3 linked regions of the Callithrix jacchus genome follow. The protein of the gene in region 2 interacts with the protein of the main gene of each other region in a pairwise test. Links are inferred from orthologs where the notes say so. Each region holds a gene or a part of one and is shown on either strand. Other genes may lie near its edges.

Region 1 (6,851 bases), on a different chromosome or scaffold from region 2:
GGTACAGGCCTGGTAGGCTAGGTGACTGCTGTCTCCCAACCCTGGGCCAGCAGCCCAGGAAGCCCTCAGTCTTCCAGCTTCTTTCCCACATAGTGGTGGCTGAGCTGCAGCTCCAGTGGGCCTTCATTGGGCACAGGCAAAGACATTACTCTCCCACTCCCAAGAGGGATCCTCTCCTCAAGTCCTTGCATGTAGGTGAAGTCTGTTGAAGGATTTTGCTCAACAATTGTTAGCTGGTCCTGAGACCACAGTGTATTGAGCCAACAGGCTACAGCTGGGGCAGCAAGGCACCGCCCTGACCTGCTCCTCTGACCATAGGCGGACCCCAGACTGCCCTCTGCCCCTCACCTGTGACCAGCTCCACCAGACACAGCAACCCAAGGGAGCAGCACCAGGGAGATTGTCAGCCTGGGAAAGAAGCACTGCCTTGCTCTCCAGGGAGGTGTCCAGTGTCCTCACCCCAAAACCCAGTGCCTCCTCACCTCCTGGGTGGGTGGCACTGACGGTGCAGGTATCAGCCTCTGGGGCACTCTGCAGGCTCTGCCTTTGAGTCCTCGCTTTACCCCTTCCCATCACAGGGAGACACCCAGGGTCAGGTTGAGCTCTTGTGAGGGATGCTGGGGTCAGGGGCAGGCACACAGTGTGGAACGAGGCCTGCCTTCCATTCCCTCCATGTTAGCCCCAGCCCCCCTTGCCCCCCAACTGTGGGGCAGGGAGAGACAGCAGCTCCTTAGGGCCTGACCCTTTCTCACTGTGCATCTGTGACCACAGGAGGCAGGGTCTGAGGCCGGAGGGAGGACACTTCCCAGGAGTTTGGTTGGGGAGGCTCCTGCCTTCTTCCAAGCTGAGATCTCCCTCCATGAAACGAGTCCTGGCCACGGGGAGGGGGACATGGAGAAGCACAGTTGCACAGCATTTGCCCTCAGCTCCACCTTTACCACATTTCTTGGCTAAGTCTCCTGCAGCAGAAGATCCCTCCTTTCAAGGAGATATTCAGGTGCCGCAGCATGCTCGGGAGTGTCCCTTCACACACCATTCTCCCTTTAGCTGTCTTACCGCATAGAACAGCCTGCATGCATACAGCATGGGGGCACGCACGCGTGCGCGCACATACACACACGTCCTGTACATCCATGCCAGCATGCTCTGCACACACATGCACTCACTGCATTATGGAAGTGCTGAGTTGAGGCATATATGTGCTACTTGGCATGAACGCTGGCTGGTAGGGGATAGGAGGTGTGTTCTAACCCACCACATGTCAGGCCAAGGTGGGAAGCACAGTGCATCTCTGAGCAGAGACTTAGAAATGAATGGTCTGTCTGTGGGCATCCAGAGGAGGCTGGGACTCACAGCCCCTTCATTTCCCGGAGGGACCAAAGTGACTCTTTGGGCTGTCCCTGGATGGGGACTGTTTTGTGACTCAGCAGCACTCACTGATTAGTCTGGGGCCTGTATCCTTACTGCTGGTGCATTTAATGCAGTTATTGAGCACCTGCTGTGTGCCCCTCTGGGCCCAAACCTCTGGCCAAGCTCCAGGCAAGCACAATAGTCCCTTTATTTGGCAATCTCGTTACCTGCTGTGTGGATGGAAAAGCCCTCAGACTGTTTCAGGTGAAGCCCCTATCCTCAGGGGACCTGAGACCCAAAGAGGGGATGGGGCTAGTGAGGCCTGCTAGGGGAGTGTGTCCCGCTTGGCCTGGGCAGCACTGAGTGATCAAGGAGTGAGGAGGCTGTGGCCTGATCCTGGGCATTGGCTGGGGAAGGGACCTGGACATGCTCTCTGTTCTTCCCCGGCTACACTCTCTCACTGGCCATTGTCCCAGTCAAGACAGGGGCTTCTTGCACACTCACAGACACATCACATACACAGGACAGAAGACAGCACTCTTTCAGGAGTAAGAAGAGGCTTGGTGTTCCTCCAACTGTGCTGTGTGACCTGTGTTTGCCTCAATATCAAGGCTTGATCTGCCCTGTGCCTCAGTTCCCATGTCCAATATGGGACTCTGTCTGCTGCTTCAGCATCTAGCTCGCTTGCTGATGGGACTCGAAGAGAGGAGGGAAAGGGGTTTAGTGGAGCTGGAACCATGTGTCCTATTCCCCACACCATCCCTCGCCACACAAAGTCAGCAATGATTCTGTGATTCTTTGGAGTTTAGGGTCCTGGCTGGGCTGAACAGAAGAGCCTGGGCTGTTGTGGAGTTGAAGCAGTCACCAAGAGGACCCTTCCTGAAGCCGGGCTCACTAAAAACAGCCTGTGTCCAAGAATGGTTTAGTAATGTAATTGGGGAAGGGTGGTTAGGATGCTCTCATGGAGAGGTATCCTTCTACCTACCCTTGGGGGCACCCTGCTCTAATCCTTGCTCTGAGAATCAAGGTATTTTAGAAAAAGGAAGGAATGTGCCATGGCCTGCTACCAGGGCTATCCTTGACTCTCTGGGACATTCCAGCCCTAAGCCTCTTAGTCCGTGGAGAGGTTCAAACTTGAAAACCCAGTTTTGGTAGTGCAGCCTAGACCACCTACCTCTTCTGCCTAATCTAACACCCCCTCCCCAATAAAAGCTCTTGTTCCTTTGACTACAGCAATTACTGGATAAGCAGGGAGGAGGGTGCTCAGGTAGGGGCTGGAAAGACCTCACTGGCTCCTTTAGGCTTCCTGGGACCCCAGTCTGAGGCTTCCAGCCAATTGAGGATCCCCAGCCTGTTCCTGGGAGAGCCAGGATGTATTTGGGCAGGACTGCCACCAGTGAGGCACAGATGGGATTACAGAACTCAGGACTCCGTGCTGTGGGCCAGCGGCTGGTAGGACGAAGGCTCTCCCGGCCCACCTCTCACCTAATTCCAACAGAAGTTTTCTAGATCCTGAGAATGGCTGAGCTGTGGGGAAGAAGACTAGGAAGGAGGTGCAGCTGGTCACACAACTGGGGAGCAGAGGGGCGGGTTATGATGCACCACAGCCTCCTCTTCCCAGCGGCTAGGTGGGAGAAGAGCACCCTGAGTCTGTCTGGAGGCCCCTGCATCCTATAGTCCAGACAGCCTGGTCTCCGCGCCCCAGCCCACCTCTTTTCCTTTCCTTGGCAGAGATGCGGGAAGCCCAAAGCAGCCCCATGAAAGGGCACGGGGACAGCAAGTCTTCTGTGCTGCCCCGGTTGCCTGTAGCTTTTGGCCTGACTACCCTAGACCTGAACCCTAGACCTGAATCCTCCCTCAGTGGACAGCAACCTGGGATTTCCTCCCTCTGGACCTGGTGGCTTTCAGAGGTCACAGCGATGTCCAGAGAATACACAAGTCTTAGTTTTTCAGAAAAGTGGACTAACTCGTTGTAGATTCAGGGAATTCCTAAATCGGAAAATCTTGGGACCCGGATTTCAGCCTGGGGTTCCCATGACTGCCATCCTGGCTTTGGAGCCCTGCCTTTGCCGCGGGAGAATGGGCTCCAATTTACGAAGCTGGTCAATTTCAGAAGTCCGAGACCCGGTTCTTGAGAAGCGGCTGCGTGCTCCGGGAACTGCGTCAACAACCAAACCCGGGAGAAGCCGCGGGAATGTCTTTATTGGACGTTAAGAAGGGAATTTGGGGTTTTTCTCATGGGAAGAAAAAGCCGGACCTGTGCCGGCGAGGGCAGGCCGCGGTGGGCTGGGGGCACCTCCGAGCGCTGAGGCGGGACGTCGGAGTCCGGGGCGAAGAGAGCCAGGGCGCTGGCCGATGTCTGCTGCTTTTCGTTATCATTGCTGCCCGAACGAACGAACGAACGAACGAATGAAGCGGTTTCGTTTAGGAAAAATACCCTCTTGATGCGAAGCTACGGCCGAAGTCCCGGGCCACGCAGAGGGGCCAGCAGTTCCATGGGTGGTGGGGCCCTCCATCCCTGGACGCAGTGAGGAGCAGCGGGAGGCCCTCTCTCCTGCCCATTTCTCCTGGGGGTCGGGAGGCCCTGCCTCCCGCGCCGCCGCTATGGGCTGCCACGGGGTTGTGCCCTTTGCGGAGCCGTGGCCCGTGCCCCCGAGGCTGCTACCCGCTTGGGGTGCCCGGGGCCGAAGCGGAGGGTTGATCCCACCGGTTAGGTGACGGCGGCTATGATTGTGCCCTGGGCGCACGCACGGGCTCCTGCCTCGAAGGCTCCTGACCTTCCGCGCCTTGCGCTGTCGCGTGTCGCCGGCTGGACCCACACACGCCAGGAGCAAACTGCGCAGGACTCGGCCGGCCGCCACCTCCCTGCTCCCCTCCACCGCGGAGACCCTGTGCCCCTAGCCCAGCGTCTCTTACCCCACCTGGGCAGCGCTGCGTCTGCCGCTCGTCTGCTCCGGGCTCGCCCGCCGCGGACTCTGGCTCAGGTTTCGGCTCCGGCTGGGGCCCGGGATCCAGCTCTGGCTCTGGCTCTGGCTCCGGCTTTGCCAGTTCCTTCGGCCCCTGCTGGTTCGCTACATCCCAGAGCGCGAGGCCGGGGCTGCCTTAGCTCGGCCCGCTCCTCCCGCCGCCGCCGCCCGTCGCCCGCGGGGAAGGCGGGGACACCCGCCGGGAGGCGGGAAGGGGGGAGGGGAAGCTAGGCGCTAGCCTGGACCTGCGGGGAGGGGCGGCGCGCAGTCCCGCCGCCTAGGGGTCCCGGCCTCCCTCGGGGCGCGGGCTGGGGTCCGCGCGGCTGGCAGCTGAGTCTGGAGGCCGAGGAACGCGCCCTCGGACCTCCGTGGAGGGGCCTGGCAGCCTGCGAAGCCGCAGCGGGTCCCAGCCTGGCCCGGGCGCCCTTTCTTTCCCAGGGCTCAGTTTCCCACCTAACTCTTGAAGGGCTGGCCCTACTTCCGTTTAGACGGGGGCTGGTGGTCTAGTTGCGGGGGACGGTTTGAGATTGGACCTTTCTCCTTCCTGCTCAGCCTGCGGGAGGGAGCTGGTTTTGCGTGTTGGCAGGGAGAGTCCCTGCGCAGAGCGTGGCAGCCCAGGAGGTTGGCGGACAGACCCCAGGGTTTCTGTGTTTGGGTGTGGGGGTGCCATCCGACCTGCCCTGCTTGGCGGATTGCCTCCTTCCCTCTCTTCAGGGCCTGGGCTGGTGAGGAAAGGGGAGACTGACCTCTCAGGACAGACACTTGTGCGGCCCCTTGTCCAACCCCTGTGCTTGCACATCCCCCAGCGGCCACCCTGCTCCGGGCTTGCGAACGGTGACGCCTGCACCCCTGTGGCCCTGCAGGCCTGTTCCTGGCTGCCACTGGGAGACGGGCTAGATGGAAGGGAACTGGGAGCCTGCCCTTCGCCCACCCTCGGGCCACAGGGCTCCCCAGCGTTGCCCCGCGGCCAGATAACCCTGTGCCCAAAGTCTCGTGGGGGAAACCAATTGACCGAACTTACTCTTGGTACTCTGAAGTGCCCAGTCTGAGCCTACTTGCTGCTGGGACTCTGGGATGGGACCACAGGGCAGGTCTGGCTGTGGCCTGTCACTCTCAGGAACTGGAGCGGCCGAGCCTGCCTTCCGACGGCCATGGGATCCAGAGCAACAGTTTCGGGAGCAAGGTGCCGGGAGATGGCAGCGCGGCAGCCGGGCCTGAATGTTTCATGAGGTGCCGTCAGCAGCGGCGCCTCCCTGCCTGGTTCTCGCCAACAGCTGCTGCGGGAGAGGCCACGACCCGCGCCGCCTTGGCGTCCTGCTAGTCCGTGCCTCCAGGGCTGCTTGGCCTGGAAACGTAGAGACCCAGGACCCCTTCCCCAGCCTCCGAAAGGGGAAGCCTGCCCGACCCAAGCTCACGGAGGCCTCGGCGTTCAGGCCCTGCCAGGTGGCCCCTGCCCTCTGTCGTGCTGTTCCAGGGACTCCATACCCTCCTTTCAACCGTCAACAGCAGGAACCCCTCTCCAGTGTGTGTGTGAGCTCTGTGCACCCAGGGTTGCAAGTTAAGATAACGAGTCCCCGGTGACCGCACTAGCAGACCTGGGCCTGGGGAAAGTGCATCTACTGTCTTTGGACCCCGCGCTGTGGGAATTTTAGCCCCAACTTCTACCTGCTCCTGTTGTCTGCTTTTTGTGTGAAAAAGACTTGTTGGGTCCAGCCCTAGTGCTGCTAAGCCAAGGCTGGCGCATCCAACCTTGTCATGGGAAACTTCCTTATACTCCAAGCAGCAGTGGCCTCTTTTGGCATAAATGGAACCACTGGACCTTTACTATGGAGGGCTGCACAGGCACTCCTGGGGTGGCTTTTACTCTGAAGTCTGTAGCAGGAAATCACACCTTCCTCTCTCCCTGCATGCTAGCAATTTTCCGAGTTTTGTTCCCATCTCGAATGAGATTTTCTGCATGCTCTCATTCCCAGGCAGGGCCTCTGATGCCAAAACATGCTGCCCCCTGGCATCTGATGGCCTGTGCTGGAATCTTGTCAGTGGCTTTTACTAGTTGTGTGTGGCTTTGGCAAATAACATAATCTTTCCCAGCCTCAGCTTCCCCATCTGTGAAATGTGAGAGTAAGAGTTCCTGCTGCTTTCTTTGGGAAATGGATGAGATGATGATGGTAAGGGGCTTGGCCCTGAGTCCTGTGTATAGAGTGGCTGAAAGCGAATGGCAAAGCCACCAGGTTGCTCTTTAAGAGAGTTTGCTCTTATTTTGTTTAGATACTTTCCCCATGGTGGTCATGTTAGTTGAGTCTAGCAGAAACAGATTCCTTTGCTGGTTTAGTTTATCTGCCCTTATTCCCTGCTTAGCTGCTAGGAAGTTTTGGTCCAGGAAAGCAGGGCAGGCTGGTGGGTGGGGCACAACCCCACCCTGGGACTGGAAGTCAGGAAGTTCTTAGTGGAACTTGAGGGGGGCGGGATAAAACACACTTTTTATAATCTTACTTTCCCTTCTATAAAAATATATATATTTTGCAATTTCCCTTT
Region 2 (6,917 bases):
CAAAAAGCCTGCAGAGAGGAAGGAAGCATGTCAGAAGGGCAGGCAGCACCATCATGCCCCAGCGCTCCACCAAGTACGCACTGCACAAATGCTTTATGAGTGAGTACATGAGTGAAGGAGGCAAGGGAGAACGAAAGGGTAGGGGCTGAGCTCCCAGGCCCAGGAGGGCTCCCCTCACTATAGGATAAAGAGAGCTCGACTACAGGGAGCTGGCCCACAGCCACACGGAAAACCACGAGGCAGAATGACGCACACTTAGGCGTGAGGCAGGCGGGCTCTAGCCTCCAGGCAGAGCTGGTTCATTAACAGCTGCAGTCCTCAAAGTGTGGTCCCCAGACCAGCCGCTGGCATCACCTGAGAATCCTTGGAAATGCCAGTGCCAAGTCCAGACCCCAAATGACTGAATCAGACACTCTGGGGATGGGGCAAGCAAGCTGTTTAAGCAAAGTCTCCTGAAGATTCCACTGCATGCTGAAGTTTGAGAACCAGTGATGGACACAGCAGGGCCCGATGCCAGCCAGAGGGCAAGGAATTGGTCCAGGCAAGGCCAACCTGGATCCCATCAATCACCCAGGCCACCCTGGGTGCTGTGCAGGGGCCTTGCTGCAGCAGTCATGAGGTCGCTTGGACACCATCATCCATGTCCACTACTAGATGGTAAGATCTCCATGGCAGGGCCACACGGCCCCGTGCCCACGATCCCCCCAACACACATCTCTCCTAGGCAGGTGCACACAGGGTCATCAGCCTGAACCATGGACTGGCCAGGGTGTCCTTACACCTGTGCCCTCACACCTGTGTGACAGGTGTGTGTGCTGTCCTGGCCAGAACAGGACTCTCTTGTTCATGCTTTCAACACGGAGTTGTGGATTATCTACGAGGATCCAGGCTCTGGGGTAACCCCAGGGGTACAGGAGGGAACGAGGCACAGAACCCTCCCTCCCTCAAGCCCAGACCCAGAGTTCTGCTGCTTCCCTCATCAATCCTAGGCCCAAAACAGGAGCACTGAGCTCAGCAGCACAGCCTTGGGGCTCCTCTGGGACCTTGAACCAATCAGAGGACTTGATGAACTGGCAGAGCTGAAAGGGGCACCCTCCCACCAACCCCAGATCAGGGCGAGGAACCCCATCTTGTGTGGAGCCAGGCTACCCGGAAAGAGCCCCACATGTCATGCCAGAGACCCCTGGGCCTCGCCCCTCCACTCCCCGCCCTCCAGTTCCACGCTTGTTTGTATCTTTACACAAGACTTGTTTTATGCATTTTAATATTCATTATTTGAAATTGGCAGAGCAGTATTTAATTAAAATTTGGTCCATTAAAGAAAACACACAATTGCAGAAGAAAATAAAAAGCACAACAAAATCCCAGCCCATATTTAAAGGAAGCTGTTAAGAGATTTGGGCAGGGAGGAAGAGAACCCAAAAGCAGAGAGGGCCTTGGGAGCTTCCCCAAGGAGAGACTCGAAGACCACACCCCCAAGAGGGAGGACAGGAGACGTGATTCAGTAGCCGAGACTGCATAAGGGACACTTCCCTAGGTGCAGAGGGATGCCTTGCTGAATTCCACCAAACCTGGGGCTGTGGCTCAGATCTTGGGGTCCCTTGGAGGAAGTCAGGTGGTTCTGCAGACAGCAGCCACGGCAACGGCGTAAGAGAGGTGCTGTCCTGTGCCCAGGGAGATCCCAGGGGAAATAAGCTATTTGTCCTCCCAGTCTAAGGACAAGGACAGACTTCCCCCACTCCTGTCTCTAGTACCTCACCCCCCCGCCCCGGTCTCTTCCCCAGCCAGGGAGTTGTATTTAGAGCTGGGGACCTGGGCTGCCTGCCAGGGTCCAACAACCCTGCTATGAGAAAGGTGTCTGCCCTCTTCAGCTCAGAACCTGAAGCCCCCAGCACACCTAATCTGCATCTCCCTCTGCCATCATGCCCTCCATCCTGGGGTTCAGTGTCCCCCAAGGCAGCTGGGGACCATTTGGAGTGGATTCAAGTTAAAATGGCTTCAGCCATCCATGTATCCACTCAAGCAATATTCCAGGGGCACCTATGGAATGAAGACGCTGTCAGCAGCCCTGGGAAAACCAGAGGGATCAGGACCCCAGCCTGCCTTTGAGGATGAACAAGCTGGGGTACTGTGACTGGAGCCTGCCCCCCTCAACTGAAGGGACTCACTGATGACTGCGGGTCTCTGGGCAGCCCAGGGACACCCTGGGGTGAAGTTACACAACTCTGGCGACCCGTGCAGCTCCACCCCAATCCTGCCTTCCGATAAGGGCCTGAAAAAAACCAGGGCAAGACCAGACAAGGAAGCCGCTCTGGGGCGCGAGCGCTGTCCGTGGTGCTGGCGTCCCACGGCTGCTTCCAATCGCTCCAGGAACACCCAGCGGTCAGGAGGGCGGGACCGGCAAGGGGTCGGGGGTCGGGGGTGGGGGGAAGAAGGGGCGAAGATCCTCCAGTGTTCCCAGTCAGGCCAGGGATTCAAGGGCTTCCCTGGAGGAGCAAGGCCCTTTCCAGAGACGCCTGCTTCCCGCCCTGCTTCTCATGGGCTCCCAACGCTCCCATCACTGCCCAGGGCCTGCCCCAGCTCTCCCGGCCTCCTGCACCCCCGGACCGCTGCGGTCTAGCCTAACTCCTGCCGTCTCTGAGGGCTGCCTCTTCGGCCCAGCACACAGGCCCGGTGTGCTGGGAGGCGGGCGCCAGGTGAGCCACCGTCTCCCCGCCCCCATCGCCCTCTGGGAAGACTACAGCGGGGCTCGGCGGGCTCCGGCCGCGGCCTGAGGGGTTCAGGCTCCCTGCCAGCTCCACCCTCGCAAGCTCCGTCCCGCACCCGGACCCCACCTGTGGCGGCGTCCCGAGTCCGGCCCCTACGTCGGGGCTGCCACTCCCTCAGCGTCCTGGCTATCCAGCTACCCAGGGCCCCGCCGGGCGCCCACCAGGCAGCGCCCGCTTCCCATCCCGCTACAGGAAGGCTCCGCGGGTGCCTGGGAGGAGAGGGGGCTGCGGTCTCCTCAGCCCCAGCGCCCGCCGCCCCCCCAGCCCCGCAGCACCGCCCCTGCTCCCGCCTCTACAACACCTGCGGTCGGGAGGCGAATCCCGGGATTAGGGGGTCCTCGCCCTCATCTCGGGACCCTCTGGTCAGAGCCAGGCCAGAGCCCCGCGGGGGGAGGGCAGTGCCACCAAAAGTGGGGAAGAGGGTAGCACAGGCAGGGAGGTTGTGGGGGGAGCGACCTAGGGGCGGACGGGCAGGACGGGAGGGACCAGAGGGGGAGCTACGGGGCGCTGCGCACTAACTTTGCCGCCCGGATGGGACAGTCCACCGGGTGAGGACGGACCCCGAGGGGCTGGGAAGAGGTGCGCAGGCTGGGGCGACTTTCTGGGCCCAGGACCACCACCAACACGCAGGTGTTTTCTGCCCCCATTCTCACTTCCGCCCCCGAGTCCTCTCCGACCCTGCCCAACTCAGGACAGGTACCAGAATAACACACCCCTCCCCACCCGCACCCCAAGTCCCAACCCCATTCGTGTCCCCAGCCCAGTCCCACTGGTCATCGCCAAGGGTTGAACCGCCCCCTCTGCCATCGGGGCTTCCACCCTCTCAGGAACCGACCTCGCCCGCCTCCACCCCGCGCCCCCCGGGGGAAAAGATCAACCAGAAGGGAACTTTACCGAAAGGGTCTCAGGGTGACCAGGCATCTTCTGACCATTATCTTCCCATCAGGGTTGACGGTGATCATTGTTCAAACTTGTCTGGGCGAAGAGCCACAGGCGAGGCCGGACGCACCGTCCTGGGCCCGGCTCCCGCCGCGTCCTAGCCGCGAACCCTCTGCTGGCCGAAGCCGCTTCAGAACGAAGCTGGGGGCGCGCGGCCGGGTGGCCTCGCTGTTCGGGCCTGGGCGGGCAGCGGAGGGAGCAGCGCGGCTGCCGGAGGGCGGCGAGGGCGCCCGGCCCGGCCGTCTCTGCGTCTCCGCCCTCCCCGCTTCACATTTTGGGGGCCGGGAGGCGGCGCGCCCCCAGACCACCGGCCGCGCGTCTGCCTGCTCCGGCTCGCTCGTTGGGCGGGACAGTGCCGCGGCGCGCAGACGGGATCCCCGCGGCGGGCGCCCTCATTCCCGGCCCCGCGCCCTACGTGCCGGCTAGAGGCGGCCCCGGGCCCGCGCCCCCGCCCCCCGCGCCTCCGGGCCGCGCGGATCCTCGGCCCCGCGCAGCGCTGCGCCCATGGCTCTCGACGGAGGCAGCCCGCACCCGCCGCCCGCTCGCCCGCCCGCTCCGCTGCCCGCGCTAGGGTGTCCGGCGTCCAGCCCCGCGCCGCGCTACGCCGGGAGGCGCCGCATTGTTCCTCGGAGGAGGCGGCCGAGCGGCGCTGGGGCGGCCCGGGAGCGGCTGCGGCGCTTCTAAGACGCGCCGGCGCCATCTCGTGGCCGCAGCCTCGCTGTGCGCCCTGCCCGGAGCTGTGCAGGGCTGGGGCGCGGAGGACCTGCTTGGGGAACGGCGGGCGGGGGTCCCTGCTCCTCCCCCTGAGCCAAGCAACTTCCCCGGGCGCCATCAGCCCCGAGGGCCAAAAGCCGCTTTGGCTTCCGTAGAGCACAGAGGAGATGCGCGCCCAGCGGAGACCCTTCTCTTCCGCCAGGTGCCCCCACGGGCTTCCGCACCAGCCGCTTCCCACCGATGGGATTTCACTTGGCGACACCCGCCCATCTTCTGTCCCTCCCTGATCAGAAATTCCCGTGGCTCTTCTTTGCTTACTGATCTTCTTTGCTTAACTCGGCCTGTGGCGCCGGGGCCTACTCACAGAGCCAGGCGCAGGGGCGCACTGAGTTCTAGCCCCAGATCCTCCACCAGTCAGTGGGCAATCAAGTGTGCACATCTCAGAGTCTCCACTATGAAATGATTGGACCAGAAGCTCACCAAGGCCCCTTACAACCCTAAACATGTAGGATCTCATGTGGTCTCTTAGCATCTAGGCGTCCTCCCCTCCCCTCTCCTCACCCTTCCTAGATTTGGAATAAGTTTGCAGTTGCAGAGATGGACAGAGGCTCTTGGGAGCTCGCAGGGCCAGTCTGAAGAAAGCTCTCTGGCTTCAAAAGCACTTCCCGAGGCCAGACCTGACCACCCCACCCTGGGAAGTGCCCAAAGCCTCAGTCATGTGTCAAATGACTGAGGCTTTTCCCAGCTCAGGCTCTGATGGGGCAGCCTGGCTTATGAAAGGAGGGGACTTTCTTTTCCTCCACCTGGTCCTGGTCCCCTCCAATCCCCCATGCCCAGTCTCCTTGTCGCCTGCCCCGCCCACCTCCCTGTCCCCTTCCTGGGCCATTTTTTACTGGCGGTGACTCATGCTCTCTGCTTTTCCTGCTCCTTCTTCATCAAAATTGACCTGTGCTGAGTTCCATTATCTCACTGCCTTGCTCCCTGCTAATGTGAAAACGGGTGATAAATTGGTCTTAGCAGAAGGATGTGTTACACCAGCTAGGTAACAAATTTGCATTGAACAAGGACATGCTGACCGTGCCTTTGTGCAGAAGAGTGACGGATGGTGGCAGGAAATTTGGGCATCATGGCAGGTTGGCTAAGGAGATATCGGAGGGCAGAGGTCTCTGCCAGGCCTCTAAATCACACCTCATGCCTGGGTGCCTACATCTGCCACAAACTCTGGCAATAATTTACTCCCTGAATGTCAAGGCCAAAGCTGTATCTACAGGAGGAATGAAATGGCCCTTCTGATTGGGCGCCTCTCTCATGTAAGCTCAGCGGGTTGCATTTATACCCGGTTGCCATTTTAGGCCAAAGGGGAAGCCTCTTCCTGAGTGGTAGAGATGGGGCTCCCTAGAAGTCATGGTCACCTCTGGAGCAGGCCATCTGGGGAGGTAGCCTATCCTCCACAAAAGCCAGAATTCAGGAGATAGGGGAGGATGCTTTCCACTTCCTCTGGGTCACACTGTCTTAGATCTGGACTTTGAGGCTGGAGTGGAGGAGCCCCTCTGCCATTTGATGGACGGCTTGGGTACTGAAAGCGAGGTGAGCAGAGGAAAGCCAGTGACTTTTTTAAAATTTATTTTCTGAGATGGAGTCTTGCTCTGTCACCCAGACGGAAGTGCAATGGCATGATCTTGGCTCACTGCAACCTCCGCCTCCTGGGTTCAAGCGATTCTTCTGCCTCAGCCTCCTGAGTAGCTAGGACTACAGGCACATGCCACCATGCCCAGCTAATTTTTGTATTTTTAGTAGAAACAGGGTTTTGCCATGTTTGGCCAGGCTGGTCTCAAACTCCTGACCTCAAGTAACCCGCCCGCTTCGGCCTCCCAAAGTGCGGGGATTACAGGCAGGAGCCACCACACCAGGCCAGCCAGTGACATTTTATGAGCCAGACTGTTCAGCTGCCTGGCCCTTTTGGAGTTTGTCTCCTTTCCTTGGCCTCTTGTCTGCAGTAAAGTTCCATGTAAACAGTCCTGCTTGCTCCCTGCAGTGCTGTAGGCATTAGGAGAAAAGCTGTGAATGCCATATCATGCAGTCTTGGATACAACCTCTTCACACCTTGGTTTCCTCAACCATAAATCAAGCTCCTTATAACCTGCTTCATAGAGCTGTTCCGAGGATCCAGCCACTTAATGCAGGCAAGTAGCCCATTGCTGGGCCCTCTAGAGCCTTCCAAGCATGGTGGTTCTGCTGATCATTGCTCCCGTCCATCAGGAACAGATGCTGATTGTGCCCCCTGCTGCAGTCACCTCTGCAAGCTAAGAGGCAGATTACTGAGGACACCTTCCACTCTCTGCCTGAGGACTTTTTTAAATGGCTTCCGGAATATGCTAGAACATGAAGGGGTAAGAAAGAAGGACCCTGGGGGGCAGTGGCTCACACCTGTAATCCCAGCACTTTGGGAGGCCAAGGTGGGTGGAGCACCTGAGCTTAGGAGTTTGAGACCAGCCT
Region 3 (6,929 bases), on a different chromosome or scaffold from region 2:
TGTATTTTCATGGGGAGAAGGAGTATGAGAAGAATGTAGAGGGAATTTAGAAGAATAAATGAACTCAACAGTGTATGTATATATACATATATACAAAAATATACAGCTGATATTATAATTTAAATTTAAGCTACAGATACAGCTTTTAATAGATATATAGCTTAATATATCTATATATGCAAATATATAGCTTAATAAATCTATATATAGCTTAAATCAAAATGTTGGGCTCAATCAAAAGCTAATAATTAATTCCAGGTGCATCATACATGGTAATCAAAGAGCAGGAGAAATCTACATTCAAAAGAAAAAAGAAAACTTCATAACTAGAAGTAAAAGCCACTAGAATACGAAAATTGTCCTTAAAAACACCACACATTGAAAGGGATGTTCAACATACTACACCATTAGATAAAATAACCCCAGTTCTTTAAAGAATCTAAAGCAAAATGTAAAAAAAATTTCTTCGTTACAAAACTGAGTTTTGATGTGAATACCTCACTCCCTAAATGGTGGTTTTTCTCCAGTGATTCACAGCAAACATACACTTTCTTAAGGCATGTGCTTTTCTCAAAGATTCTTGAGAGGAAAGACTCCATGTGCTTTTGTATACAAGAAAAAAAAAATTCTCTCTCCACAGCTATGTACTAAAGAGGCCCTTTGCCCTGCAAAAAGACCAACCACATTTTAAAATCAAAGTTCACCAAGTAATAGATCTACACTGCCAGCAGATATTTAAAGATTTCTGCTGGTCTGTCTACTTAATGTACATGTGGACCTACAATTCCAATAGAGATTTGCTTACTCTCTACATATAGTGAACTACTTATCCAGGAGTAGTTCTGACATCCTTCTAAATACACATGGAATGTTATACACAAATACATTATCAGAACAACTGCAAAAAGGGTATAATACCTATAGCAACAGGCAGTCTCAGTGGGCAGTTGTCTCCAACTTAAACCCCAAATGGAATTTATTCTTACAAGCACTGCGTAGAATGGATCCACTTGTATGTCTTCCTAAACAATTATCTATTATTGTCCTACCTTTCTCCCCATTCCCCATCAGATAGTGATTGGCTTTTTCAAAAAAATGAATTATGGGGTCAAATCAATTGAAAGAAGAAAACAAAAGTTGTGTACATCAATATGCAAGGTATGGGGTGGGGGCGACTAGCTGGAATCTGAGCCCCCTGATGCCTCAGTCCCCCAAAGTCATCACTTTGACCTCTCCTTGTGATAAATCCTATTCTCTTTTGCAATTACCTGTTTTCAATTTGGAAGGCTCAGGCTATCCCTCAGTATTAGGTAGGAGTCAAACAGAGAGCACAGCTCTGGTTTGTCCAGTTGAAATCCGTTTCCTTTTTCTATTCTCCTAAAGCATGTATCCTGCTGCCGCTGCTGCAGCTGCTACTCCGCCGTCCTGCCTGCCCTTACTCCTCCTCCTCCTCCTGGGGTTGTGTTTTTAGTTTTGTGACTCTTTAGAAATCATGAGCTTTGGCTATCCCAAAGAACACTCTGAAGAACACAGGATGTGAAAGGAATCCCCTTGGACAGAGACCACAGAACCCAATGCCCTATCACATGAATGCTGCTGGGCAGGTGGCCACGGCAAAACGCCACCTCTGATATTAACTCAGACCTCTGCCCTAGTCCTCGGGGAAACGGAACCAGAGAAGCAGGAAATGGAAAAAAATTAAGAAAATATATTGGTACAAATCCACTTCTAGAGCTGAGACCAAACTCCTCCTAGTTACTTGTTCAAACCTATGGGAGAAAAAAAAAAAAAACACTAAAACCTTTTTCTCCTCCTCTCATTCCTCTGTGGCAAATTCATAAATATAAAAAGATGAGACAGACAAAAGAGAGGACTGGTGAGCATTCCTGAGAAATGTTTATATGCTAACTTGGATTAAATATCCACAAAATTCAAGTTCAGCAAACTCTCTTCCATCTTTAAAATTCCCAGCTCTTCTCTCACACAGGCTGTTTGTTCTCAGAGCTTCGGGCCTGGATAGCATGACTGAAAGGGCAGAAGAACTGGACCTGCCAGCCACCCGTCAACTCACCACAAAACAGGTGAGTCTGCATCATTTCCCCAGCTGCACAGGATCCAGACAAAGCAGTCCAGTGCTCCTGAAAGCCTCTCTCCAGAAGCTAGGGTACTGTCTTTAGGGAGTTGGCATGTCAGTGTAGGTACCAGCTTTACCACAGTTCTACCTACAGGAGGGCTCTGGACTTTCCCACTCCTAATTCCAGCATGCCTTCTTCTGGGAGAAGGTGGGCCGTTTTCCTTTGTGCATTTGACCCAGAGAAACACCAAACACATGTCTGCTGAATTTCAAGAGCCATCAGAAGGGCTCTAGGGCTGGGCAGAACCGCAAGCTAGAAATTCCCCAGGAGGAGAGAGACTAAGAGGCCCAACTCAGGCCTGCCAAGCTCAGGAGGCCTGGAGGAGAGAAACAGATGGGTGGTGGGGGATCAGATTTTGTTTTTTATCTCTTTAAACCACGAAGACAGCTGAGGGCAGCCTGGGGAACAGTGTTAAAGGATCTAGGAGGTTCTGCAAAGGAGTGAATTCTGGCCCACCAGATTCTTGGTCCCCCTATCAGCTCAGGAGCCTTTCGGGACCTTTTTACGGTCATTGCTAAATGGAACTTTTCACCAATTACAATAGTCTGGAGGCCACGGAGCAAAGTTAGAAAGGGCATGGGGCAAAGCTAGAAAGGCAATGGGTTCTCAGAGTTGGAATGCTCGTCCCCACTCAAATTTTCCTGGGCCCTGGGCTGGGCCAGGTTGGGTCGGGCCGGCTGGGCGGGGCAAGGCCCAGAAGCACAAGCAGCTCAGAGTCAGCCAGGGCTGGGTCTTGGCTCATTCCCTACACCTAACCATTCCAACCCCCAAATTCGAGGCCCTCTAAAACCCGCAGCCCAGAAAACTCTGCCCCACGTAGGGCAGTGTGCCCGCCTGCGTTTTAATTTGGCCCCGTCTCGACTCCGTTTATCTCCCTGCTCAATCTGACACATTCCCCTTTAACCTGGGGAAGGCACCTGGCGACCCTGATGCACAGTCCCGTGGTGTGGCTCCCCGGAGGCGCCTTCCCGGCGGGCGCAAGTGCCACCCGCGCTGGGTCCAGACTCAGCCGGCTTCTCCCGGGAGAGGAAACACCGGCCTGTCGGAGGGTAGGAAGTAAAGCTCCGCCAGTCCCACTTCCCAAAACCTTGCCTCCAGGCCTCCCAGGAGGAGCTGCAGCAGGCACTCCGAAGTTGCCCAAGCGCCCGTCCAAACTCCCGCACCGCAGACACTCTTACCTGGCTTGGCGAGCTGCGCCTGCAGAGCCCCGGGCTGCGGCTCGGAGGTCCAGCGCAGAGCGGCGGCCGCGGCCAACTCGGCAGCAGGGCGCGGCGGCGGCGGCTGAGACGGCTGAGAGGCCGGCGGCGGCTGCGGGGCGGTGGCTGCGTCCCCGGGCGGCGGGGGCCCGGGCAGTGCGCGTAGCGAGTCCGGGATGAGGCTCTCCAGGCTCTCGTTGGCTTGCTGCCGGCGCAGCGCCACCTGCGCCGCCATGACCCTCTGCCGCTCGATGATGAGGATGCACTTCTCGCAGGTGCAGTCCTTGAAGCGGCAGTAACGCTTGTGGCCCTTGAGCCAGGAGAGCACACCGTGGTTGCGGCAGCGCGCGCACTTGGGCGTGCGCTGCAGGGGCGCCCGCGGCGGCTGCGACACCGGGCCGCCCATGTACAGGTAGGGGGAGCCGTAGCCGTTCATGCCCCAGGCTCCCGGATGAGTTGGCGGGCTGGAGGCCGGAGCGGGCCAGGGAGCGCTGGACGGCGGGGTTGCGAGGCACGCTCAGGGGCTGCCTCCGGGCGGCGCGACCCTTGGTCCAGTAGCGCCGGCGGTTGGGCGTGCCCCGGAACGGCCGGAGGTGCCGCAGCCGTCTTTCCAGCTCCCTCGGCGCTCACAGCTCGGCCTCCCGGCTCGCGCCCAGCCAACCCCCAACGCGGGCCGCTGCTTTGGGCGCACAGCCGAGTCGGCACGTCCTCCCTTGCTAAGGGGCAGCGGCGGCTGCAAGGAGCGGGCGAAAGCTCTGATTAAGGTCTGAACCAGCTCGTCTGCAGCTCCCTTGCGCGCTGGCCGGACTCAGCACCTCCTCCGCTGCCCTCCTCGAACCCCTCCTCCTTCCCACCACCACCGTCACCCCCACCCCTGGGGTCCCGGTCTCCTTGCACTCCCCGCCCCACGCCTTTCTCCTCCTTTGCTCCCCTCAGGTCCCTGCACTTCACCTTCCTGGCCACCTGCAGCCGGGCCACGCTCGCGGGGGCGCTCACGGCCCCCTCCTCCAAGTCCTCTCCGTCACCCGAGCCTGCAGCGGGAGACTGCAGCGCTCCGGAACGCGGCGTGCTCGTGGGGCGGAGAAGGGGAGGACCAGCGAGAGTGAGGGTGGGGGTCCATGTAAGGGAGTGAGGTGGCCGCTCCCCTTCTCTCTCTTCTCCTCCCTTCAGTCCTCCTGTGGCTGCGTTTTTCCGAGCCCTAGGCAGCTTTTATCCCGACATTTGGCCGTAGAAACTCAGCTCCGGGAGAACCCGAACCTACGGGAGTGTTGGGGGTGCATCACAGACCTGGGTGGAGTTTAGGATAGGGGATTGGAGTGATGTTGATTTGGGAACGTTAAGCTCTTTTCTTAATTTCCTTTTAAAACGTATTTTTTTTTTTTATCTTTTGTTGCTTTGGAAAAAATGTATGTGGAGCTCTGCCGGCCCAAGGATGACCACCCCCCCTTTTTTTGGGGGCAGGCAAATTTTACTTTTCTACCCTCCTCTCCATGTTTTAATATAAAACAATATCCTGAAAGGTCAGGGACATACATGCTCCCGGAAAGAATTTGCTAAGCGCCAGGTATAAACTTTCAAGGAGCAGACGCAGAAGCCACATTAGCGCCCCCAAGTTTATCTCTTCCCTCTCTCCCAGCAGCCACTGGGGGCAAACGCAGGTCTGGAGCCAGCCACTCAATTAAAATCCCCAAAGATTCTGTGATTTAATTATGGATATGGAATAGGGCCACTTTTGACCCCTTAACCCACAGACCCCAGTCATAGATGTCTTGGGGGAGAGGGTCCTTGCACAAGATGACAGCAGAAAACTTCGATTAGATTATTTGTGTTTTCCCATTCTCCCAAGAGTAGCCGGTTTGGCCTAGTGCAGACTATCGCTATATATGCACAAGGAAGGCCCACCCCCTCGCGCCTCCCCCTTGCCCATCAACAAACAAAAAAAACAAAAAACAGGTGGATACACTGGGAGCGGGACAGCCCAATAGCTCTATGCCAAGCGGGGCAGTTCCAGAGCCTTCGGTGGGTACGCTTCTAAGAGTGTTTGCACCAAGCTCATCTGGCGGGGAATCGAATGCTAGATGAAAGCGGGCAAGTCCGCTGCAATGCCGGACCCCTCGTGGGCACAGAGGCCCTTGTCCCTCCGGGAGGCCGCTTTTCTTCCTTTTCTCCGTACTGCCCTGGAAGTAAGCAGACAACCCGAAAACGTTCCTCTGGTGTTTGCTGTGAATTCAAGGGAAGCACTTCCAGGCGTTCTAGCAGCCAACCCTTTGCCTAGAAGGTTGATTCGCGGAGGAGAGGAGGGTTTAAAACCGAACCCGGTTGAGTGTTTCCCTTGAAGCCTTTAGCTGTCCCGTATCATACACGTCCGTGAGATGGGGATCGCGGGAGACTGACCTGGAGTGTGGACAAGAAGCCCCAGCATTTGAGTGGGAGGCCATCCTCCAAAGCCGCGTGGGGTAGGGACCCCTCGGTCTTGCCCCTTCCCCCACCACTTTAATCCTTCCTCTAGTCTCAGCCTTCTCTAGGAAAACAAGCCCTAAAGCACAACTGGAAGAAATTTCGTAAGCTCTGGGAACAGGAGGCAGAGATCGCCCGCAGCCCTATAGGCCTGAGGCTAGGAAGTGAGGAGCTGGACGCGAGTCATTTAACGCGCTGAGGTGTAGAGGGCCACGAATGACACCTTATCTGAAAACTATCGCGCTGAAACCTCCAGGTCTCTTGGAAACGTGGGGATCGACGACTTTTTTCAAAACCAAATTTCTTCCGATTTTCTTCAAATGGTCAATGAAACGAGGGAGTAGAAAGAACTTGAGCATGAATAAATTTTTAAAAGGAAAGCAGAAGAGCTCTGCACCAGGTTTGTGGGGGCATTCTCACTACCAAGGCGACCCCTCTTTCCCGTTCCTCCCTAGGTCACCTAGCCACCCTAACTCCTTGCCACTCAAACAGTCTGGCATTATTTGGTCCCGGGGGCCCGTTTCACTCCGGTGCACATCGGGGGCTGAGATCTAAATACTCATTTGATATAGTGCAGTAATCCTTTTCTCATATTTGATGGGAATGTTTTCCATATCCCAGTATTTGACAACATCTCCCTATAGGGACAGGTTTGTATTTATGTTGGTAAAATGTCCCCTGCCTCAAAGTCTATTGTAACCCAACACCTGACAACCCCGAGTCCCATTTCTGTTTGCAGAAAGGGTTTATTCAAGCACATAATGGGATCCCAGCAGAAAGCCTTTCAGAACAAGGGGCTATGGTAAACTTCACCACATGAACTCCGTTTCCAGGGCTATTAAGCTTTTAATTGGAAAATAGCAGAGGAAATTTCAAGGTGACTATAACGTGTTAGCAGTTAGTGCAGAGAAGAAAAGCTGGAGCGGGAATGAATGTAGAAAGCATATGGTCCAAATCACATTTAGGAGGAGCGGCCTGCTTCTACTAAGTCCCCGTAGCTTACACACGTATGGGAAAAATCATCAAAGAAAGTGGAAAGGGAAGGGGGAGGATTACAAGTAAATGTAACCTCACTTGGTTAGATCCACTGGTGCTCTCTGGATGGTGTGTGTTCTCAAACCGCAATTAACTGAGTAGAACT

Evidence for each region.
Region 1: the proteins of MGAT5B (region 2) and PITX1 interact in a two-hybrid assay, tested with the Homo sapiens proteins (2 studies listed by BioGRID). The link is inferred for Callithrix jacchus from reciprocal best matches to the Homo sapiens genes MGAT5B and PITX1.
Region 3: the proteins of MGAT5B (region 2) and DMRT3 interact in a two-hybrid assay, tested with the Homo sapiens proteins (2 studies listed by BioGRID). The two-hybrid records come from large-scale screens. The link is inferred for Callithrix jacchus from reciprocal best matches to the Homo sapiens genes MGAT5B and DMRT3.

Annotation. Positions count from the first base shown.
Region 1 is NC_133503.1:33,464,901-33,471,751, forward strand, and holds the start of PITX1 (pituitary homeobox 1), read right to left. Parts: upstream 4,430-6,851; 5' UTR 4,267-4,429; intron 1-4,266. UniProt on the Homo sapiens protein: Sequence-specific transcription factor that binds gene promoters and activates their transcription. May play a role in the development of anterior structures, and in particular, the brain and facies and in specifying the identity or structure of hindlimb.
Region 2 is NC_133506.1:132,713,338-132,720,254, reverse strand, and holds the start of MGAT5B (alpha-1,6-mannosylglycoprotein 6-beta-N-acetylglucosaminyltransferase B), read right to left. Parts: upstream 4,168-6,917; 5' UTR 3,731-4,167; coding exon 3,663-3,730; intron 2,980-3,662; exon of another isoform or gene 2,835-2,979; intron 204-2,834; exon of another isoform or gene 110-203; coding exon of another isoform or gene 9-109; coding exon 1-8. UniProt on the Homo sapiens protein: Glycosyltransferase that acts on alpha-linked mannose of N-glycans and O-mannosyl glycans.
Region 3 is NC_133502.1:107,432,583-107,439,511, reverse strand, and holds the start of DMRT3 (doublesex- and mab-3-related transcription factor 3), read right to left. Parts: upstream 4,380-6,929; 5' UTR 3,768-4,379; coding exon 3,314-3,767; intron 1-3,313. UniProt on the Homo sapiens protein: Probable transcription factor that plays a role in configuring the spinal circuits controlling stride in vertebrates.